Linked DNA regions of Saccharomyces cerevisiae S288C. The gene in region 3 interacts genetically with the main gene of each other region. Each region holds a gene or a part of one and is shown on either strand. Other genes may lie near its edges. The genes, in order: CLA4, HST3, FKH2 and HSL1.

The links.
Region 1: mutations in FKH2 (region 3) and CLA4 together harm fitness more than expected from each alone (negative genetic interaction), as found in Saccharomyces cerevisiae (5 studies listed by BioGRID, with this or other methods).
Region 2: mutations in FKH2 (region 3) and HST3 together harm fitness more than expected from each alone (negative genetic interaction), as found in Saccharomyces cerevisiae (3 studies listed by BioGRID).
Region 4: mutations in FKH2 (region 3) and HSL1 together harm fitness more than expected from each alone (negative genetic interaction), as found in Saccharomyces cerevisiae (5 studies listed by BioGRID, with this or other methods).

The regions. Positions count from the first base shown.
Region 1 is NC_001146.8:67,327-71,999, reverse strand, and holds CLA4 (serine/threonine protein kinase CLA4), read right to left. Parts: upstream 3,086-4,673; coding exon 557-3,085; downstream 1-556. Other genes in the region: MON2 (Mon2p), read left to right, coding at 1-327; non-canonical poly(A) polymerase TRF5, read right to left, coding at 3,555-4,673. UniProt on the Saccharomyces cerevisiae protein: Involved in budding and cytokinesis.
Region 2 is NC_001147.6:376,470-380,062, forward strand, and holds HST3 (NAD-dependent histone deacetylase HST3), read left to right. Parts: upstream 1-1,749; coding exon 1,750-3,093; downstream 3,094-3,593. Other genes in the region: AHC1 (Ahc1p), read right to left, coding at 1-1,243; BUB3 (Bub3p), read left to right, coding at 3,312-3,593. UniProt on the Saccharomyces cerevisiae protein: NAD-dependent histone deacetylase, which contributes together with HST4 to histone H3 'Lys-56' deacetylation, regulation of telomeric silencing, proper cell cycle progression, DNA damage control, DNA recombination, and genomic maintenance.
Region 3 is NC_001146.8:495,156-499,904, reverse strand, and holds FKH2 (forkhead family transcription factor FKH2), read left to right. Parts: upstream 1-1,615; coding exon 1,616-4,204; downstream 4,205-4,749. Other genes in the region: 60S ribosomal protein uL6 RPL9B, read right to left, coding at 1-224; YNL067W-B (uncharacterized protein), read right to left, coding at 348-488. UniProt on the Saccharomyces cerevisiae protein: Transcription factor that regulates the expression of the CLB2 cluster of genes during the G2/M phase of the mitotic cell cycle.
Region 4 is NC_001143.9:247,337-254,032, reverse strand, and holds HSL1 (protein kinase HSL1), read right to left. Parts: upstream 5,114-6,696; coding exon 557-5,113; downstream 1-556. Other genes in the region: YPF1 (aspartic endopeptidase), read left to right, coding at 1-336; YKL102C (uncharacterized protein), read left to right, coding at 5,666-5,971; metalloaminopeptidase APE1, read left to right, coding at 6,351-6,696.

The DNA.
Region 1 (4,673 bases), 430 kb from region 3:
GAGAAATTAAGAAAGTTAACTGCTCCTTATCTTTCTGCAAGAATTGCCCTTGCTCTTAGAAGATATATCTCAGATGAATACTTGATTGGGCGAGCACCAATACCAAAATTGCGTAAAACAGAACTAGCTACTCTATTAAATGGGCTATGCGTGATTTTAAGAGGTGTTCTAGATCAAAATTCGACCCTTGGCAACAAACAAATTGGAGTTGAAAACCTACAAACATTAAGTCCGTTGATTTTAAGAACCATCCCAGTATCTCATAAAATGGATGGCCTCCAAGATAAAGTTTTGGAATTATCACTTGGATTTACGAAACTAGACTAGAAGCTGAAGCATGGACGAATATTTTTAAAAATCACGTAGGATAAATAGTAATATTAAACGACATTGGATTGATTATTGTATCGTTGCAGGTCTTTTTTTATTTACTTTAAAAAAAAAACTTTTAAGGTGAACGTATTTATATATTATGCCATTGGTATGCATAGCTAAAAGAAAAGAAATACATAAGATTGTAGTATGTATGATATGCTTATAGAAATAGTTGTGTGCTTCATTCCTTCCACTCCAACAGTGATGTCAAATCCTTTGGATCACATGCCATATTGAAAAAACCGTGGTGTAAAAGCTCTTCGGTTGATGCCCTATATCTAACATCTACGCAAAGGCAAACGCTTAGAAAGCGTTTAATTTCTAAAGACAAACTTTCTGGATGCTTGAGCTTTGGTGTACCATTAGTTGCAATTAAGTACAACGCCTTTAGTGGATCTTCATTTAAATATGGTGGTTCACCCTCCAGCATTTCAATGGTCATGATACCCAAAGACCATACGTCAATCTTTTCATCGTATTCACGTTGTTTGACAACTTCAGGTGCCATCCAGTAAGGTGTCCCAACCATAGTGGCTCTTTTGCTTCTTTTATCAGTTAATCTGGCGCAAAACCCAAAATCGGTAATTTTCACCCTAGCTCTAGTGTCCAGCAAGACATTATCTGATTTAATATCCCTATGAATGATATGCTTGTCGTGTAGAAATTTCAAGCCTTGGCAAGTTTCTCGTACGATATATGCAATTTGGGGTTCTGTTAGTGGTGAATGTGAATTATCGTTGGTGGGACTATTCTCGATAATGTCTGTTAGTGAACCTCCTTCCATAAACTCCATCACAACCCATAGGTCATCGTCTGTTCTCAAATAAGCCTCGAGAAAATTGACGATATTTTTATGACGTGAATCCTTCATAACCAAAATTTCATTCACTATGAGTTCTTTACGAGGTTGTTTAGATAAGACCATTTGCTTGATAGCAACTTTATCTCCTACGTGCGGCTCATCAATATCATTGTTTATGAGTTCGATCATATTACTTTCTGTCGGAATATGCGTCCTCTCTGCAAGGTAGACGGACCCACTTGCACCTTGACCGGCCTTCTCGATCACTTTAAAGCATTGAGATGGATCCGCATTTACGGTGACTTTCTTCAGCTTACTCATTATTTCTGCAGTTGACATGGTAGGCCTTGCTGGCTTCTTCGGTTTGGCCACACCACCCGGTTGTGCGACATCTGCATCCGGTCTCTTTGGGGCCTGCCTCATTGTTTGTGGGGTTGACTGGTCATTCTTAGGTGCAACAGGCTGTACATGTGTGTTACTAGTAGCATTTTGATTTGATGGGTATGGCGCCCTTGGAGCTGATATTGGTGGCTTTGGAGCTGTTCTTTGAGGTTGAAAGTGTGCGGCTGTAGGACTTGAGTTTTGTGCATAACGTGGAATTGCTTGGTTTTGGGTCGACTGTGAACTTAATGGCGATTGAGGTTGTTTGGAATAAGGATTTATCATATTGTGATGTGGCCTATAAGGGTTTAATGGAGACGGAGATGGGGATGGAGATGGAGATGGTCCTTGATGGTGGTATGGATATTGTTGATGCTGTTGTTTTTGTTGCTGCTGCTGCTGCTGCTGCTGCTGCAAAGATCGTTGAGAATTGTTTGGATGCATAGGTCCCCTAGGAAATTGGCCATTGGTTGGGGAGTGTCCGTTTCTCATCTTAGGATATTGTTGGTTGGGAACATTTTGTAAGTGTCTTGGAATATTTGACTGACTAGTGGGCAATTTTGTATTTATTGGTGGCAGTGAGCCGCTTCCTAGAGAAACAGGCGATTTGGTATTTGGTGGTTGTGAGGTTTTCCTCTGTGATACCATACTTGAAGAAACGCCTGAAGATGACTTTGAATTTACTGAATTATTTCTGAGTTTGTTATCATTATAGCTGTTTGGCAGCGATTTTTGAGAGGAGGAAGTTTCACCACTTTGAGGCTTGTCTAAAGTATTTGTGGGATTTCCGGCTCCATTATACTCTTGATAAAACTGCAACACTTGAATGACAGCCGCAGAATTATTGTTCCAATCTTCTCCTGTAATTCTGGAGTGCTTTAATAATTTTTCCCAGTTGGTGGGCATACCAACAAAACTACCTGTTTCTGGATCAAAACCAACGTGAACTTTATGTGTGAAGTTTGTTGGAGAAGATACACCACTTAATAATGGACATTTAGCAAAAATGGCGTCTAACCAACTATGCAAATCGCTTTCTGTCTTTGTAGCAATGTATATTGATTTTTTGGAGTTACTGTCTGATGATACATTCAAAGAGGACGAGGATCCTGATGATACAGAATTTCGGTCACTGCAGCGCACCAACTCAAAACAATATTGTTTCAACTGTGTCCTGCTTACACTTATAATACTAGTTAGTGGTATCTTCAAGATCGCATCGTCATTTTGTTTATCGTTCTTGTAAAGGGCTACATACGAATCGTGTAGCATCAGGTATCTCTTTTGCCATATAAATGAAAGTATACCGTCATCTTTGTAGGACACCCACCCGCTTTTTTTTTTGGAGGTACTTGTACCTAAATGGGACGCTGATGTTAAATCCAGTTGACTCATAAGTTTGGTTATAGGTTGCGTTTGATTATAGCAAGTACGGCCCTGGCTATTTGAACTGGGAGGTCTAGGTGCCGGTCCGATATTTTGGAAATCGTTGTCAGATATCTTATTCGCTGCAGCTGAAAGAGACATATTTTGCACTATTTCTTTTATGTTTCAGTTTCACTGTTCGATTTATTACACCAAAGAAACCACCAGGAATGAATGATAGCAAAAGATGCAATGGTTTTCAGTAGCGCAGTACGTTCGATCGAAATAAAGGACTTAAGGTTTTGATCTTATTAGCAGCAGAAGCAAATAACTGGCAACGCTAATACATGTACAAGGCTCAGGCTAGAAGGTTCTTTCAAATTATGTGTCTCGAATCAGACTCTCCTGCACGTTCCATACTATGTTTCTATCATGCCAGAGATGAAAAATTTCGTCATCTTACCGGCTCGAGAAAATTTCCATATCGGGAAACTATCCTTTTTTGGTGGCTCTATATTTCCGGAAAGGGAAAATACCCACGCGTTTGATATCATTAGCTTATTGTTTCACTTGGACATCGATGTGGTATTCTTGTATAAATAGTAAATAGTCTATAAGAGTCTATATTGTGTTAAAGAGCCTGGCCTTTAGAGAGCCAGTAGTCCCTTCTCGTTTGAGCATCTACTGTCTTAGTTTCCAGTGGTGATTTCTCATCTTGTCCCGAAGGGGTATCTCTTCCTTTTTGATCTTGATCGGATTCTTGATCATTCTCAGAAAGTCCCATCAAGTCATCTATGCTGAGGTTGTTTTGGTGTAGGAGAGAGCCCTGATCAGTTTTTTTCACTTTGCGTTTCAATTTGCTTCTGCTCACTCCAAAATCCGGAGGTGGAGATGGAATGGCACTCTTTTTGATTTCCCCTTCTCTCTTATCCTTTTTTGCCTTCTGTTTCTTCTTTGCAGGTTCGTCAAGTTTGTAGATCTCCTCTACTGGCAAGTCTTCGGTGTCGTTTATAAATAAATCTTCTTGAACTATCCTCGTGCGCCTCTTGTGGTAGCGCTCGTTTTCAATGATGGCTTTATTCTGCACTAAATCTCTTTCGTCGTTGAAATCTCTCTTTTGCCCACGGTATTTGATCACGTTTCCGAGTATACTTTTTCCAACGCGGTCTTTGAATGTAGCAGAATTCAATTCCCAGCATTTATTGACCAACAGTTCGAAGGCACCAGCAAAGGCCTTTTTTATATCCTTCATATTAAAGGAGCCTCTGCTTATATTATTGTTAGGATCACCAGGATCTTGAATAGCTAGCGAGAATTTACTCCTTGAAGGTTCCAAAGTTCTCCAACACGATTTAGGAATATAAGAGGCGTAACCATCAGATATGCTTATAGCAACGTCATCATAACCAAAATTTTTTCCGTAAAGTTCGAAGAAGTCAATCAGTAGAACACCCAGGTTATCTAGAACGTCGATATCGTTTGATTTTATTCGCGGATGCATATTTAAAAAAGAATAAACCAAACAGATTACTGTGAAACCTCCCAATCCTCCTGTGTGCACATTGTTCAATCGTCTTGAATGCAAAAATTGTTTTATTATCAGTACCAGTTCACGTAACCCTGGAGAGTCTCTTAGCCATTCCCTGATGAGTTTTGCAGCCTCTAACCCGTTCGTTCTTTCAAATGAAACGTCGATATGTAACTGTGATTGGGGCTCTATGAATTTGATAATAGGCACTCGCGTTTTAAC
Region 2 (3,593 bases), on a different chromosome or scaffold from region 3:
GTTTTTCTAAATGAGGAGTGTTCTTGACAGTCTTTGGAGCCCGCGTATGGTTCTCGGAGTGGTTGATTGGTGATTGTGGTTTTGGGATTGCAATGTCAGAGGGTAGGTAGTCTTTGTTTGGGTCCAAATTTAGTTTCTTGAACTTAGATAAAATTTCCGGATCCTGCTTATCATTAGGAAGTAGTTTTTGGTTGTTTAAAACTGCCAATGGTTGGCTTGAATATAGTTTAGAATGTTTTAGTCGAGTATGGTTCACGATACCTTGCGCGGAAGTGAAACCGGAACGGTCACATTTGGAGCACGTAATTATAACCAAAATGCCGTCATATCTTCTAAAAATGGGCTCATTATTTTCAGTCTTACCGATGATACCGCTATTGCTCGTCAAACAAGTGCTACTGTAATTACGTCTGTGGTTAAGATGCATCTGACTTGGTTTAAAAGGGAGTATCTGGAACCCCGGCTGCTCGTCTAAGGGGGAGATTGAGGAGGAACGAGGTGAAGAAATGCCATCCGAATTAGAGTGAGGAAGCGAGACGGGAGTGGGCTTGGTTATGGCTTCTGATAGAGATTTAGAACCTGTTAGCCTGTAATCAATTATATTCGAATTTGCCGGACGGAGGGCAGAAGGTTCTAGCAAAAGCCCGTTACTCTTGCTTCTAGTATGATAATGGTGGTGTGGTATGCGTGTTGTTGACAGATTTCTGTTGCTGCTCGAAGACAAAGGCTGACAGTTGATGTTATAATCCGATAGAACCGGGTATGACAGGTTATAATTTGATGCGTTCGTATTTTCCGTAGCCGTACTGTCGTGAAAGTGGCCGCCGAGCACGCTATGCTGCTGATGTTGTTTTATTTTGAGTTGATACGTCCGTTCGATTTTGTTCAATAGACCAGTATCCTTATGCAGGGTTTCCAAGAGAGCTAGTTTTGCGTTAACCTTTTGAACATTTCTTCGTAAGTGCCTAACATGCTTGTGGTTTAGCATTATATGTAGGTTCAAAACATTCTGTATTTCCCCTTTGGCACATTCGTACTTCAACCGCTGGGTATTTTCGCTATCCTTGTCCGGATTACTGGTGGCGGTGTCCATTTTGAAGGGCTCATCCATGTTGTTTTCCAAATCCTGAGGAGACTTTGGCGTGGTAACCTGATAAACGTTCGTCATCTTAGAGGATGACGATGAGGAAGAATTAGGATTATGATGCTGGTGCTGCAGTTTATCTTGGGCGGGACTCATCATGAGGAGATGGACATATACACAAAGTGTTGGATGAGAAGCGTGAGCCCGAAGAGTAGTGAAATGCCGAAGATCAGGGTGTTTATATGAACGAACACTAGCTTACAAATGTGGAAACGGGATCCTTCAGAGGTAAAATGCGCCTTCAGTGGCCAAAGTTCATCACCTTCCTTAGCACGGGTTCTTGCTGTCTGCTCTTCCTGCTTCTTCCCTGTTCGTTTTTCCCTCTTCCTACGGCTATGCACAGTGGCAAATGCACTGCATGTGTTTCTGTGGCGGGTATCCCTCAATTGCGGGTAACAATAAGTAACTCAACATCACGAACGACGTTTATGTTTGCTGTTACCACAAAGGGTAAAACGTCAATAAAAGCAAGCAATGTTATTCGTGCCAGAGAACTATATCTGGCGTACGTCTTATATATAACACAAGCAAGGGCAAATACGTGGTTAGTGGTGTAAAAACTGAAGGGATTAATTTACATACAACTAGATCCATCTTTCTCAAAAATGACTTCAGTATCGCCCTCGCCACCTGCCAGTCGATCGGGCTCAATGTGCTCCGACTTACCGTCCTCTTTGCAGACTGAGAAACTGGCACATATTATAGGTCTTGATGCCGACGATGAAGTTCTCCGGCGCGTAACCAAGCAGTTGAGCAGATCTAGGAGAATTGCTTGTCTGACTGGGGCAGGCATTTCGTGCAACGCGGGCATTCCTGACTTTCGCTCTTCTGATGGGCTCTACGACCTAGTGAAAAAGGATTGTTCACAGTATTGGTCTATCAAGTCCGGCAGGGAAATGTTTGATATTTCGCTATTTAGAGATGACTTCAAAATATCCATTTTTGCTAAATTTATGGAGAGGCTCTATTCAAATGTTCAATTGGCAAAGCCGACTAAGACGCACAAGTTCATTGCGCATCTAAAAGATAGGAACAAACTGCTGCGCTGTTACACGCAAAACATCGATGGGCTCGAAGAAAGCATAGGACTTACTTTATCAAATAGGAAATTACCGCTTACCTCATTTAGTTCACATTGGAAAAATCTGGATGTCGTTCAGTTGCACGGCGACCTGAAAACTCTTTCGTGTACAAAGTGCTTCCAGACTTTTCCCTGGAGCAGGTACTGGTCTCGTTGTCTAAGAAGAGGTGAGTTACCATTGTGTCCGGATTGCGAAGCACTTATCAACAAGAGATTGAATGAAGGAAAGCGAACTCTTGGTTCTAATGTGGGTATTCTAAGACCTAATATCGTCCTGTATGGTGAAAACCATCCATCCTGTGAAATTATTACGCAAGGCCTAAATCTTGACATAATTAAAGGCAATCCTGATTTTTTGATCATCATGGGTACAAGTTTGAAAGTTGATGGTGTGAAACAACTGGTAAAAAAATTAAGTAAGAAAATTCACGATCGTGGCGGCCTGATCATTCTCGTAAACAAGACACCCATTGGCGAATCCTCTTGGCACGGCATTATAGACTACCAAATCCACTCAGATTGTGATAATTGGGTCACATTTCTTGAATCCCAAATACCAGATTTCTTCAAGACGCAAGATCAAATTAAGAAGTTAAGACAGTTAAAAAGGGAGGCGAGCGACTTGAGAAAGCAAATGAAGGCCCAAAAAGACTCAATCGGAACCCCCCCAACAACCCCTCTACGAACTGCCCAGGGGATTGATATTCAAGGAAACAACGAATTGAATACAAAAATAAAGTCGTTAAACACAGTTAAGAGAAAAATACTGTCACCAGAAAACTCCAGTGAGGAAGACGAAGAGGAAAACTTGGATACAAGAAAACGCGCTAAGATACGACCAACTTTCGGTGACAACCAAGCCTCATAAACTTAACTATTAAAATTGAGTTAACGATAAATAATCGAGGCAGACACCCCTTTGCATAATATATCATCCGTTTAATTTATCTTCCATTTATATACTCATACATATACCAACGGAGATCTGCATGTCCGAGAATACAAAAAATAGTGAACGAAAAAAATATCACATCGCGAAAGAAAAGCTATCTGATATCTGCAACACGAAAACACAACAGTCGCGGCATGCAGATAGTACAAATTGAGCAGGCCCCAAAAGACTACATAAGCGACATCAAAATAATCCCTTCCAAGTCACTGCTTTTGATTACGTCTTGGGATGGCTCTTTAACAGTCTACAAATTCGACATTCAAGCAAAGAATGTTGACCTTTTACAATCGCTACGATATAAACATCCGTTATTGTGCTGCAATTTCATCGACAATACCGATCTGCAAATATACGTGGGAACTGTACAGGGTGAAATTCTAAAAGTTGATTTGATAGGTAGTCCCAGCTTCCAAGCT
Region 3 (4,749 bases):
ACCAAAGATTTAACGGTTCTCAAAGCGGCAACGTGCTTTCTGTCACCGTTGTGAACAGCAACCTTGATCAATTGGTTGTTGACCTTGGTGAAGGTAACATCAATATGCTTCAAGTTCTTGGTCAAAGTACCTCTTGGACCGACAACCTTGACGATTCTGGACTTAATGCTGACAGTAACACCTTCTGGGATTTCAATTTGTTGTTCGGTTTGAATGTACTTCATCTTTAGTGACTATTGGAGGCTAGAGTTTGGTTTATTGTCGTTTCAGAGAGAGAAAATGAACTATTTCAAAAAGAGAATAGGTAAAGGGAAAGGAAATAGAAATATGGTTGGTAATTTTTTTTTTCATGTTTGCCGTCCGTTTAAATAATTTTCACTTTTCCTGTGCGTCGCTTTAAAAAAAAATTCACTAGAAGAAAAAAAAAAATTCCCAGTTAATAGTGCAGTCTTGGAAACAACACCAGTGCACCACATGAGTTTACACATCAGATGCAAACGGGATCGTACATTCGTAACATTGATGCTTGTATACGTCTCTCCTATAGTTCCTGGCAAGCACAACGTGTGACACAGAAGAAATGGCAATGCTAAACATGAAAATAGATTTTCTTGGCTGTAAGTAAATCGATTGCAAAATTGGTTCCTACCGCTACGATATCACACACTTGTCTTCTTAAAAGAGGAGCAGTAAATCCAAAATTTGCCTGGCATCAATAGTCGTCTTAAAAATGTCTAGAGGAACTACCTCTGTTATCTCTTCTTTTTGTTACTGACATACTAATTAATTTTTACATAATTGCTGTCCTCCTTCCCCTTCTATTTGCGAATTAGAAGTGATGAAAAAAGAGCTAAACATAAAGAAAAAAAACTTCCTTCGGCTGGTCCAAAAGGGTCCAATAGCAGAAAGTAAAAAGCTATTTTGAAACTATAGAACCTCAAGAACATTAACATTTGAGTCGGATCATGTCAACTGTAAGAACTGAATATTAATTCAACATATTTTAATAATTTGTGTCATATGTATCTTGCAACAGGCTTTCAAAAATTTGCTGCCTGTTGGGTACAGGCTGTTTTTTATTGATTACGCTTTATGCTTATCCCTTAAGCTGCAACATTTTGATGGCCTCTTCTTCCTGTCTCTTTCTGTGCCATATAATCGTTCCCTTAGCATTGATGATGACTTATGCCGGACCCCGCCCCAGAACCCTTCGCACAACATTACCGAAAATCTTCGATTTCGCTCATTAAAAGAGGGAAAAAAAATTCGCTCGCCCTGTGCCATTTGGATTTTCTAGGTAAATTAGTAAATAAAGAAAAAAAATGCCAATGGTTCCGCATTTCTAAAGGTAAACAAAAAAGTGACATTCATAGGATCACTATATTTCTGTAAAACTTAAAACACTATAGAGCAGTCCTTTTCCACTGAATTGAACCGCTCAATAATCAAGATCATACTAAGGAACAAAAGGCTAAAAACACTTCAAAGCCAATCTTCCCGATTCCCTCGCATAAGTGATCATTGCTAGAAAAAAAAAAAAAAAACAGTACGATACACATAAATATTGGTGTGCTCCCTCCGTTTCCTTTATTGAAACTTTATCAATGCGCAAGAAATGTCCAGCAGCAATTTTAACGAGATGAACGAACTAAATATGACTCAAACAAATTATGGCAGCACAAAATATACCGCTCAGCATCATCAAGGTGTAATAAATGCCATCATCTCTTCACTGACAGCCCCAGATCAGCCAACTACCGTATCATTACAATATTCCAACGACAAGAACATGGCGACGGAAATACAAGCTTATGCTAAACTCTCCGGACCAAACTGGACCTATTATGTGAAGGATTTGGAAGTTTCTATTGGTAGAAATACTGATCCCTTAAACAGTGCACTACAGGAAAATTCAGATGGTGTAAAAAACTCATATAGAGTGAATATTGATCTCGGACCTGCCAAAGTCGTTTCTAGAAAGCACGCCATAATAAAATACAACATGAATATCGGCGGTTGGGAATTGCACATATTGGGCCGTAACGGCGCTAAAGTAAACTTTCAAAGGACTCATAATGGACCCAACAATCCTCCCATTCGATTATCTTCCGGAACCCTGCTAGACATAGGAGGAACACAAATGATGTTTATCCTGCCCGACAGTGACCCGGTTGTTGCTCCTATTTGTATAGAACACCTGATGCCTAATTTAATAAACATGTTCGGATTGGAAGGCAACAACAACCCCCTGCTAAGAGACATTATAAAACAGTCTAATTATGCTAAGCAAAGGCAATTAACCTCTAATCAACAAATCAAAGGGTTTAAGCTTTATGGAAGTGGTGGCAATGCTCCTTTTGGTAGCGGAGCGAACTTGGGCCCTAGCGAACAAGGCATCTTCAACAACAATAATAATAGTAAGAACAAGAATGGCTACTTTACGTCCATAAACCCAAACTATACAGCATCTACAACAACAAGCAATACCATCAATCCACAAGCGGCTTCTCCACAGGGTCCTCCAAATACCATCATCGCTGCAAATTTTGTAGATTCATACAAGTCATCAAATGCCTATCCTCAAGCTTTGGATTTTACTTCGGACCTATCCCATGACGAAAACAGGAACGTTAAACCACCTCATTCATACGCAACTATGATAACACAGGCCATACTGTCGTCGCCGGAGGGAGTTATTTCACTAGCCGATATCTACAAGTATATTTCTTCCAATTATGCATACTACAGGTTTGCTAAATCCGGTTGGCAAAACTCCATTAGGCATAATTTATCATTAAATAAGGCGTTTGAAAAGGTTCCGAGAAGACCCAATGAGCCGGGCAAAGGTATGAAATGGAGAATTAGCGAATCTTATCAGCAAGAATTTCTAAACAAGTGGAATACCGGAAAAGTGGGGAAAATCAGGCGGGGATCCTCAGTAGCAAGGCAACTACAGTTACATATGGCAAAATTCAACAGTTTACCCATGGAAATGGACTATAGGTTATCGCTTAACATGGCTCAACCCCCTAAACGACAACTACAATCTCACAATGTGCTAGAACCATCCAACAATAACATCATAGAAGGGTTCGTACAACATGTCCCATCCAAAGGTAACCTTCCTGCATCGCAACAATCACAGCCCCCTGTGTCACATCAAAATCAGTCACAGCAGCCGCCACCACAGGAACAACGTCAAGAGATTCAATTTACCTTCGCGGATACCCAAAATCGAAATATAGCGTTAGCAAGACCTATCAAGACGCCACAATTGCAAGCTCCCAATTCAAATGCTAACTTAAATCAAAACAATATGAAAGAATACAAAGAGTCACTTCATCCGCCTGCAATATCAATATCACAAATGAATAGGCAATCTCCAAACAACGCTCTAGTCTCGTTCACTAATGCATGTGCTAATTCCAAAATAATAAACAACATCAGCGATAGCGCCGACAAATCGACAAACAATAACGGCGGTACCAAAATGAATCTACCCGCCATATCTACTTCTTCACTTGATGAAAATGGTAATTTGGAGCCGACAACTACCACGTCTTCCGGTAATTCTAACTCAGTTCCGCAAACTGGAACAACAACTTCCTCATTGGCAGCGAACAGTCTACGCCTTTCTCAACCATATGACACGCTATTACGATCTCCTACTAAGGCATTTCATATTACTGCGATGGAAGCATATACACCAGAAAGAGGAAGCGCTAATAGGGCTAGGTCACCTCTTCATAGTAATAGCAACAATACTAATAATAACGGCGCAAATAATTCTAATTTACAGACTAGCGGAATGGAAAACAAACAAACAGGTCTAGTATTGGATTCTAATGTCTTGAAAAGCATGGAATCAAACAATGATAATAGACGGCTGACACCATCAACAAGTAAATCGCAGAATGTCAAAAGTTCTCCAGGTGTATGGAATTTATTGCAGTTTAGCTCAACAAACAACACTCCTGCCGCAGATAGCGGAGGCAACAAGAGAGGATTTTCCATAAATCCGGACATTAAAGCCAAAGAAAACGAGAATGCTACTTCAGAAAAAGATTCGGACTCTAACTCAAATGATCTGGAAACTAAAGATATTAATTCTTCACCTTTGAAAAACCAAGGTGGTAGCACCGCCAATGCCAAGGAACTAATACTAGATACGGATGGTGCAAAGATCAGTATTATCAACAACTAAGACAAGAAACAAGGTGAATCACTAAGACTAAAGAAATGAATGAGAAATGGCTAAGCTGCAGCCAGTCATATGAGCTGCTTTCCTTTCATTCTATTGTCGTCCGAATCTATGTCACGAAGTACATATATAACTGTCTTTCATATATAATATTTAATCACCGTGCATTCCCTATTTTACTCTTCCTCATGCGTTTGATCATCTGACCTTTATGATTTTGAACACCCCGCAATGTTCACTCTAATTTATGCAACTGAACTTTATTTTCGCTGCTGTGTTTGCATCCTTGACATATTCAATCCGTACACTATACACACCCAAACCTCCTTTAAAAATTTCCTATGAATCAGAAAATTTGGCTGTTTCTCAACGCTTCGGCCAACGGGTGAAAAACAGCGGCAGAAGGACTTCCTTCGGAGAACGCTCCTAGAACCTGAAACTGCCCGCTAAAGCGTCTCCTGGGCTGTCCCCAAGTGGGTGATTTTCCATTTGATCCTTGTATCAGCTTGGGAGGGTGGTGATCTCTTCTTAGGCAGACACTTGGTCCC
Region 4 (6,696 bases), on a different chromosome or scaffold from region 3:
CCGGCTTTATTATACATTGTTCCTTCCTTGTTGATTAGTACTATTTTGGTAGCTTGCTGGAACAAGGATTTTAAGCAGTTTTGGAATTTTCAGTATGATACGATTGAAGTGGATAAAAGTTTAAAAAAAGCGATAGAAAAAAAGGAGAACTCTATAACTTATTCGACCTTCATCCTATCAGAATACTATAATGATGCCGACAAGTATGCCTTGCTTGGTGATGATGTAAACGAAAATTTTGACGATGATGAAGAATTCGTGCAAGAGGAAGATCTCAGTGACAGCTCTGAGGAAGAGCTTTCTGAAGAAGATCTCTTGGATGACGAATCTTCTTGAGCTCCAAAAGAAACGACAGCTCTTTTTACCCCTCCAGGGTTGTATTTATCTTCTAATCTAGGACAATGTTTGTAAAACCCTCTTTCTTTCCTTCGTGTCTCATGTCTCTCCATTTATTAATGTTCTTTTAAACTATGTTTTCTCACGCCTGTCCATTCGGTTCTCGTACGTTAAATTTTTCAAATTATTGTTGTATAATTATATAACATCTATATAGAATTTATGAACGTCCGGCATTTCGAATTACTCTCTCCACATCATCATTAAACTTTTCAAAGGCTTTATTGGAACTTGTGTTTGAATGTTTGCTTCTTTTTTTTACAGTAATTACCGTAGATGCATTGGGTGTGCTAGTAATCTTGATTTTGAATTTGAAGTTGCCTTTTACAAATTTACAATCGTATTCCACCACCTTTCTCCCAAATTTGTGATCTAGGTTCTTTAATTGATAGTCGATACTATTCTTGTTGAATTCATTTAATGTTAGCATATGCGCATCATCAAATGATATATTCGTTACATGATTCTTGGATGCCTTAGTAGCATTATTATGAGAAGAAAAGTTTTGAAATAGTTTGACGAACCAATTCTTTTTATCACTGGAAGGCGCTTCTTCAACTTCAACATTTTGGACACTTTTTAGAATTGGCTTTTTTGTATGGGTTTGTGTATTTGATTCCATAGCGGTATCCTTCGTAACTTTAATCGTTGAGGGTTTTGGTATTTTAGAGTAGTTATTTTCTGTATTATTTGCATTTTCCTTTTTTTCAACCACCGGCAACACAAGTTGAGAAGATTCCTCGGATATTTTATTGTCTAGCTTGGTATGCTCTTCTTTAATTTTTCCCCCACCTACTTTTTTAGATTCTTCCTCCTCCTCATCGAAAAGCATTGTCACTCGTTGTTTTGGATTAACGCTTTCCTCAGATGGTCTTCGCTTTGAATAGCTCATACTTGATTCAAGAATATCAGCTTGAGAAGTATGCCCATCTTGATCTTCCTCCAAATCTTTGAACATTGACTGTAAACTTTGAGAAATGCCTAATGCATTACTATCACGACTACCACGCGTGGAAGAAAACCTCTTTTGCATATGTGTATTAGAAGGATTTTCTGGTGACAATCTAAGTTTAGAAAGTATCTCTTCAGTAGTCTCTCTGGGTATACCAGAACTGTTATTATTCCAATAAAGACTTACTCTAACATTTGTCGCGGGAGTAAGAACGTTTGTTGTCGCCATAGTGTCAATAGATACCGCTTTCCTATGCACACTTGCTCGTGAATCGCTTTCTGAAGAAGATGTATTTAATGAACCCTCATCGGAGGGCGCATCTTCAAAAATATTAATGGCTTTTTCATCATATGTGTTTGGTATAGTATAATCTGGAATATAATTAGTATCGCTATTATCTGGTTCTTTTTCCTTCGAGATATAGGCTGCCGATTTGATTACTTTTTCTTTTGTAAAAGAAGATGCTTTGGGCGAAGTATTGATTTTATTATTGTCCGTGTCGTTGTTCATCAGTTGAATCGCCTGAGCGGTAAAGGTGTTTGTTGGTATTTCCATCGCAAATGTCATATCAGAGATTCCATCCAGATCATTACTCAAATAGGAGCCAGGTGAGCCCTGATTACGTTTAACGGATAAATTGGCGTTCAAATTAGACCGTGGAGTTAGAGATATTTTGGCAGATTGTTTTCGCAAAGGGTGTGACATGGCTACACTTCTAGATTGGTTCTGTGGCACACTTAGATGCTTATCATCACCGTCATCAGCGAGTATCTGGCTAAGATTTTTGAACGTCATAGATGTGTTCAAAAAACTAGAAGGTAAAGACAGCATTGGTTTTTGAATTGTACTAGATTCTGCTAAAACACTGGGATCTCTCGAAGATGTTGCTACTGTTGTTAAAGGTACATATGAACTTTCGATTGAAACATCTGAGGCTTTGACTGGTTTTTCGTCTTCCACATGTTCACTCATGAACAAGGAACCTCTCTCATGGGTCCAGTGAGAGGCTGGCTCCTTTTTGAATTTCAGTCCCTGCAATAGTGATTCCACTTTTGAATTCACTGGCTGGGAGATGTTACGGCGGGGATCTAGAGATAAGGACGGTTTACCTTGATCATTAGGCAAAGAATTTACACGAAGTTCTTGGTGCTGAATAGGTTTGAGTGGTGACGGGCGGTCATTTTTTTTTTGAAGTTGTTCTCTTTGAATCTTTTTTTCTATCCTCATACCTTCCTGTTTATTCATTTTATTGAATGAGTTCGTGATATCTGAAAGGGCCGCTCTCTTTGGCTTCTGTTCTTCCAAATAACTTGAGCTTAACGTGTTTTCTTTTTCAAAGATAGGAAATGAAGAGAGCCCTGACATATTCTCAGATGGTTTATATGACATATTGAATTGATTTTTCTCAATTTTGGTTGGATACTCCGGGCCCTCATTTTCCTTATTTGTAGACACCCCAGAGATCGTAAAAGTGTCTGCCGAAGATTTTGTATCGTTTTGCCTCTGTCTTTGGGTGTCGCGTTCTTTTTCATTGTCCTCTTCCTCTTCGAGTATCCTATCTAAGGCGTTTCCAAATAAGATCTGATCGCATAAGATCTCAAAATCAGAGTCTGATTCCAACGAATGGGGTTCTGATTTATTCACATTTTCGGATGCTGGTTTCTTACTAGGGAGAGGATCGTCAAAGACTAATAAATCATTCAGGTTCAAGGAACGTTTTGAAATTGACTGTAATGAGTATAAGGATCTCTTTGAAGCCGAGTTTTGTAGTGTTCTTCTAGCGGCAACAGTTGCAGCTATATTCTTCCTCGAAAGTGATTTATGTATTGATTTAGTAGATGGGGAGGCGTGGATTGCCCTTCTTGACAATGAATATCTTGAAGGCGACTTCGGCAGTTGAGGTAGAGGCATCTCATTATCATGCACAGTTTCTCTAGAAGTTGAAGCGGACAATGATAATCTGGAATTCGATAAGCGTAGCGATCTTCTCGAACGTGATGAAATAGAGGTGTATGAGTTACGGAAAATCCTTGATGAAGAAGCATTGAATATGGGAATAGCGGGTGGTAATGTTACAGCTTCTGCTTCAGCCTTATCACTTTCAGGTTGACTGAGCGTATTGATACTAAATTGCGATTTTTGTGCCAATACAGGGGCATTAATTTCTGTATTAACCCCTGTAATTGCGTTGTTCTGATTCACTGTTGAAGTATCTTCTGAATGAATTTCTAGAGAATGTAAAGTCTTCACATCATTGTTCTCGCTCCTTAGGCCTGTATTATTGGCAGTTTTGGATGCGTATTCAATCCTAGGTTCATTTACGCTACTTTCTGTTGCTGATTTCTTGTTTTCGCTTGACGAGGACAATGATATTGAGTGACGTTGTTTATATTGTAATAACAGTGAGTAGAATAGTTTTTCCTCCGACATTGGCTTTTGAAGCAACTTGGCAGTGATTAGTTCACGAGAAACTCCATGCCACAAAATTTGCAAACTCCTCAAGATGGATTCATCAATTTCCCCTTTTGAATGTAAAGTTACAATAGAGGGCGAGACATTATTTAGCAAATGCAAATCCGAGTTAGATTTTCCCCTCGCCATGTTATCCTTTCTCATTTTCCTCAGCACTTTATTAACTGGGAGATCATCATATTTTTTGATCAGAGGATGCTTCAATATCTCTTGAGTGGTAATTCTTTTTTCTGGATCAATTACCAATATTTTTGATATCAAATCACGAGCCTCAGAAGATAAATTTGAGGGCATTTGATATTTGCCCGATTGAACTTTCAACAACAGCTTTTTGATGTTGTCATCATTAAATGGTAAATGACCGGTGAGTAATGCAAATAAAACGATACCGCAGGACCAGACATCGCTAGGACCGCCATGATATGGTCTACCCATAACAATTTCAGGAGACGCATAGTGTGGAGAGCCACATGAAGTTTTTAAAAGTTTATTAGGAAGCTCTAATGCTGCCATGCCGAAATCAGCAATTTTGATTCTCCTATTCTTTTTATCTAATAATAAATTTTCAGGCTTCAGATCACGATGGCATATATTAAAAGAATGACAATAGGAAACACCTTCAACTATCTGCTTGAAGTAATGGATAGCCTCCCTTTCAGGTAGCTTTCCCTTCGAGACCAGATAATCGAATAATTCGCCACCATCAACATATTCCAAAACTAGGTACAGCTCTGATTTGTTCTCCCAAACTTCAAACAATGCCATAACGTTTGTGTGAGATATCAATTTCATGATTACTATTTCTCTCTCTATGCCATATGGGTTCGTTTGAGAATGGTTACTATGTTCTCTAGATGCTATTGATGGAGAAGATACATTGGAAGTGACCATGGAAGAAGAGTAAGAATTAGGAACAGTTCCATTATTAGAACAATGAACAAAGGCTTTCTTCTTGGGGACAATTTTAATGGCAGCTAATTGTCCTGTTTCCATATTTTTAGCCAAGCGAACCCTACCAGAAGATCCCTTCCCCAATGTTTTGCCAAGTTTCCAAGGACCCACCGTGTCTCTGGATTTTCTCTTTGATGATTTTGTAGCAACACTTACGGTAGAGTCGGGCTGAGATAATCTTTTGGTAGCGTCGTTCACAGATTGTACAACACGCTCCAAATGCCCCGACGCCCTTTTTGGATTCGAATTTACTTTGGCCATGGCCCTTTTAGCTGCCTTCTTGGCCAATGAAGACGGGCGACCTTTGGGTACGTGGCTCGTTTTTGAAACGTGACCAGTCATGTCGTGTGGTAAAAATAAAAAATATTAATAACAAATAATAAAGGAGTGAATATAGTTGGTTGTTGATTTATTTATCAGTATTTTTTGTCCCGCAAATCTATGTCGTTCTTTTTACCTTGTCTTTCTTGTAATTTTATTATTTATCTCTTTTCGCGATTAGTAGCAAGTAGTATGATGGATATCCAACCTATTTGATGATCTATTTGAGTTCAACTCTCTGTTTTAATGGCCTCTCGCTGTCCAATTTACGTCCTTGCAGTCGGATAACTAGCGAACTTACGATCCAAAGGGAGTTTTAAGAAGAAACAGGTTTCGAGCAAAAGGTAACTTGCTTATATTAAGAACGCCAATAAGAGTGGCCACTATAATGCTGCTCCCAGCCGGTACAAGACGGTACGGTACGTGATGGAGATTAGTTTTCACTATTTAGCCCAAACAACCCAACGCGAAAATGACCACGCGAAAAGAAAAATTAGTAAAAATATTTCACAACGCGAAAAATAAGGACGAAGGCAACACATTCCACCTTCCCTGTTATTGTAAAACGCACAAATGTGTGCTTTATTCGCTGAGGTTTCATCGACAGCTGCAGCCAGTTGTTCATTCGGTGTTCTCTTGTGCAGCGGCTCAAATTGTGGCAGGCTTGTAGGCTCCGAACGCCGTAAGGTACTTTATGTTTTTAATGTCAACGTTTGCAAGAAAATGTCATCCTATTACTTTCTGAGGCATGATAACATTGTAATCCCTTATCTCTTGCGCTTGTTGGTATCAGATAAAGAAGCATCAAACAAGAACCCACTCCTTCCTTTTCTCATGGATAAAGAGAGGTCGCACCATTTCGTGAGGAATATGAATTAGTCAGCTTCTACTTTAGGGTATAGGTTGCAAACTTCCGTTTTTCTCAAGGTTTAATCAGAAGCATAATAGGTCTTCGGATGATTTCTTGTCTAATTCAAAAAAAAAATAATCTGGGATAGGTTTTTCGGGAAAAACAACTAGGGGTGATGCTGTTTTGCACCTCTATTACTGTAAGATAGGCTATGCAAGCAAACGACAGTAAGAAAGAATAGGGTTAAGTGAAATAGTTGACACACCCCTTAATCGTTCCATTAGATAATAAAAATTCATTTATAAGCAGTTGACTTCACAGAACAAGACATACACTGTATAGAGCCTGATCAGTAATCTTAGTGCAATTGTAGAAACCTGCACAACCAACAAAATTAAGAAAAAAAGAATGGAGGAACAACGTGAAATACTGGAACAATTGAAGAAAACTCTGCAGATGCTAACTGTAGAGCCATCTAAAAATAACCAAATCGCCAACGAAGAAAAGGAAAAGAAAGAAAATGAAAATTCGTGGTGCATCCTCGAGCACAATTATGAGGATATTGCACAGGAATTCATTGATTTCATTTACAAGAACCCTACCACTTACCATGTAGTATCATTTTTCGCGGAGCTGTTAGATAAGCATAACTTCAAATACTTGAGCGAGAAATCCAATTGGCAGGACTCCATTGGCGAAGATGGTGGGAAATTCTACACTATAAGAAATGGAACTAACCTATCTGCCTTTATCC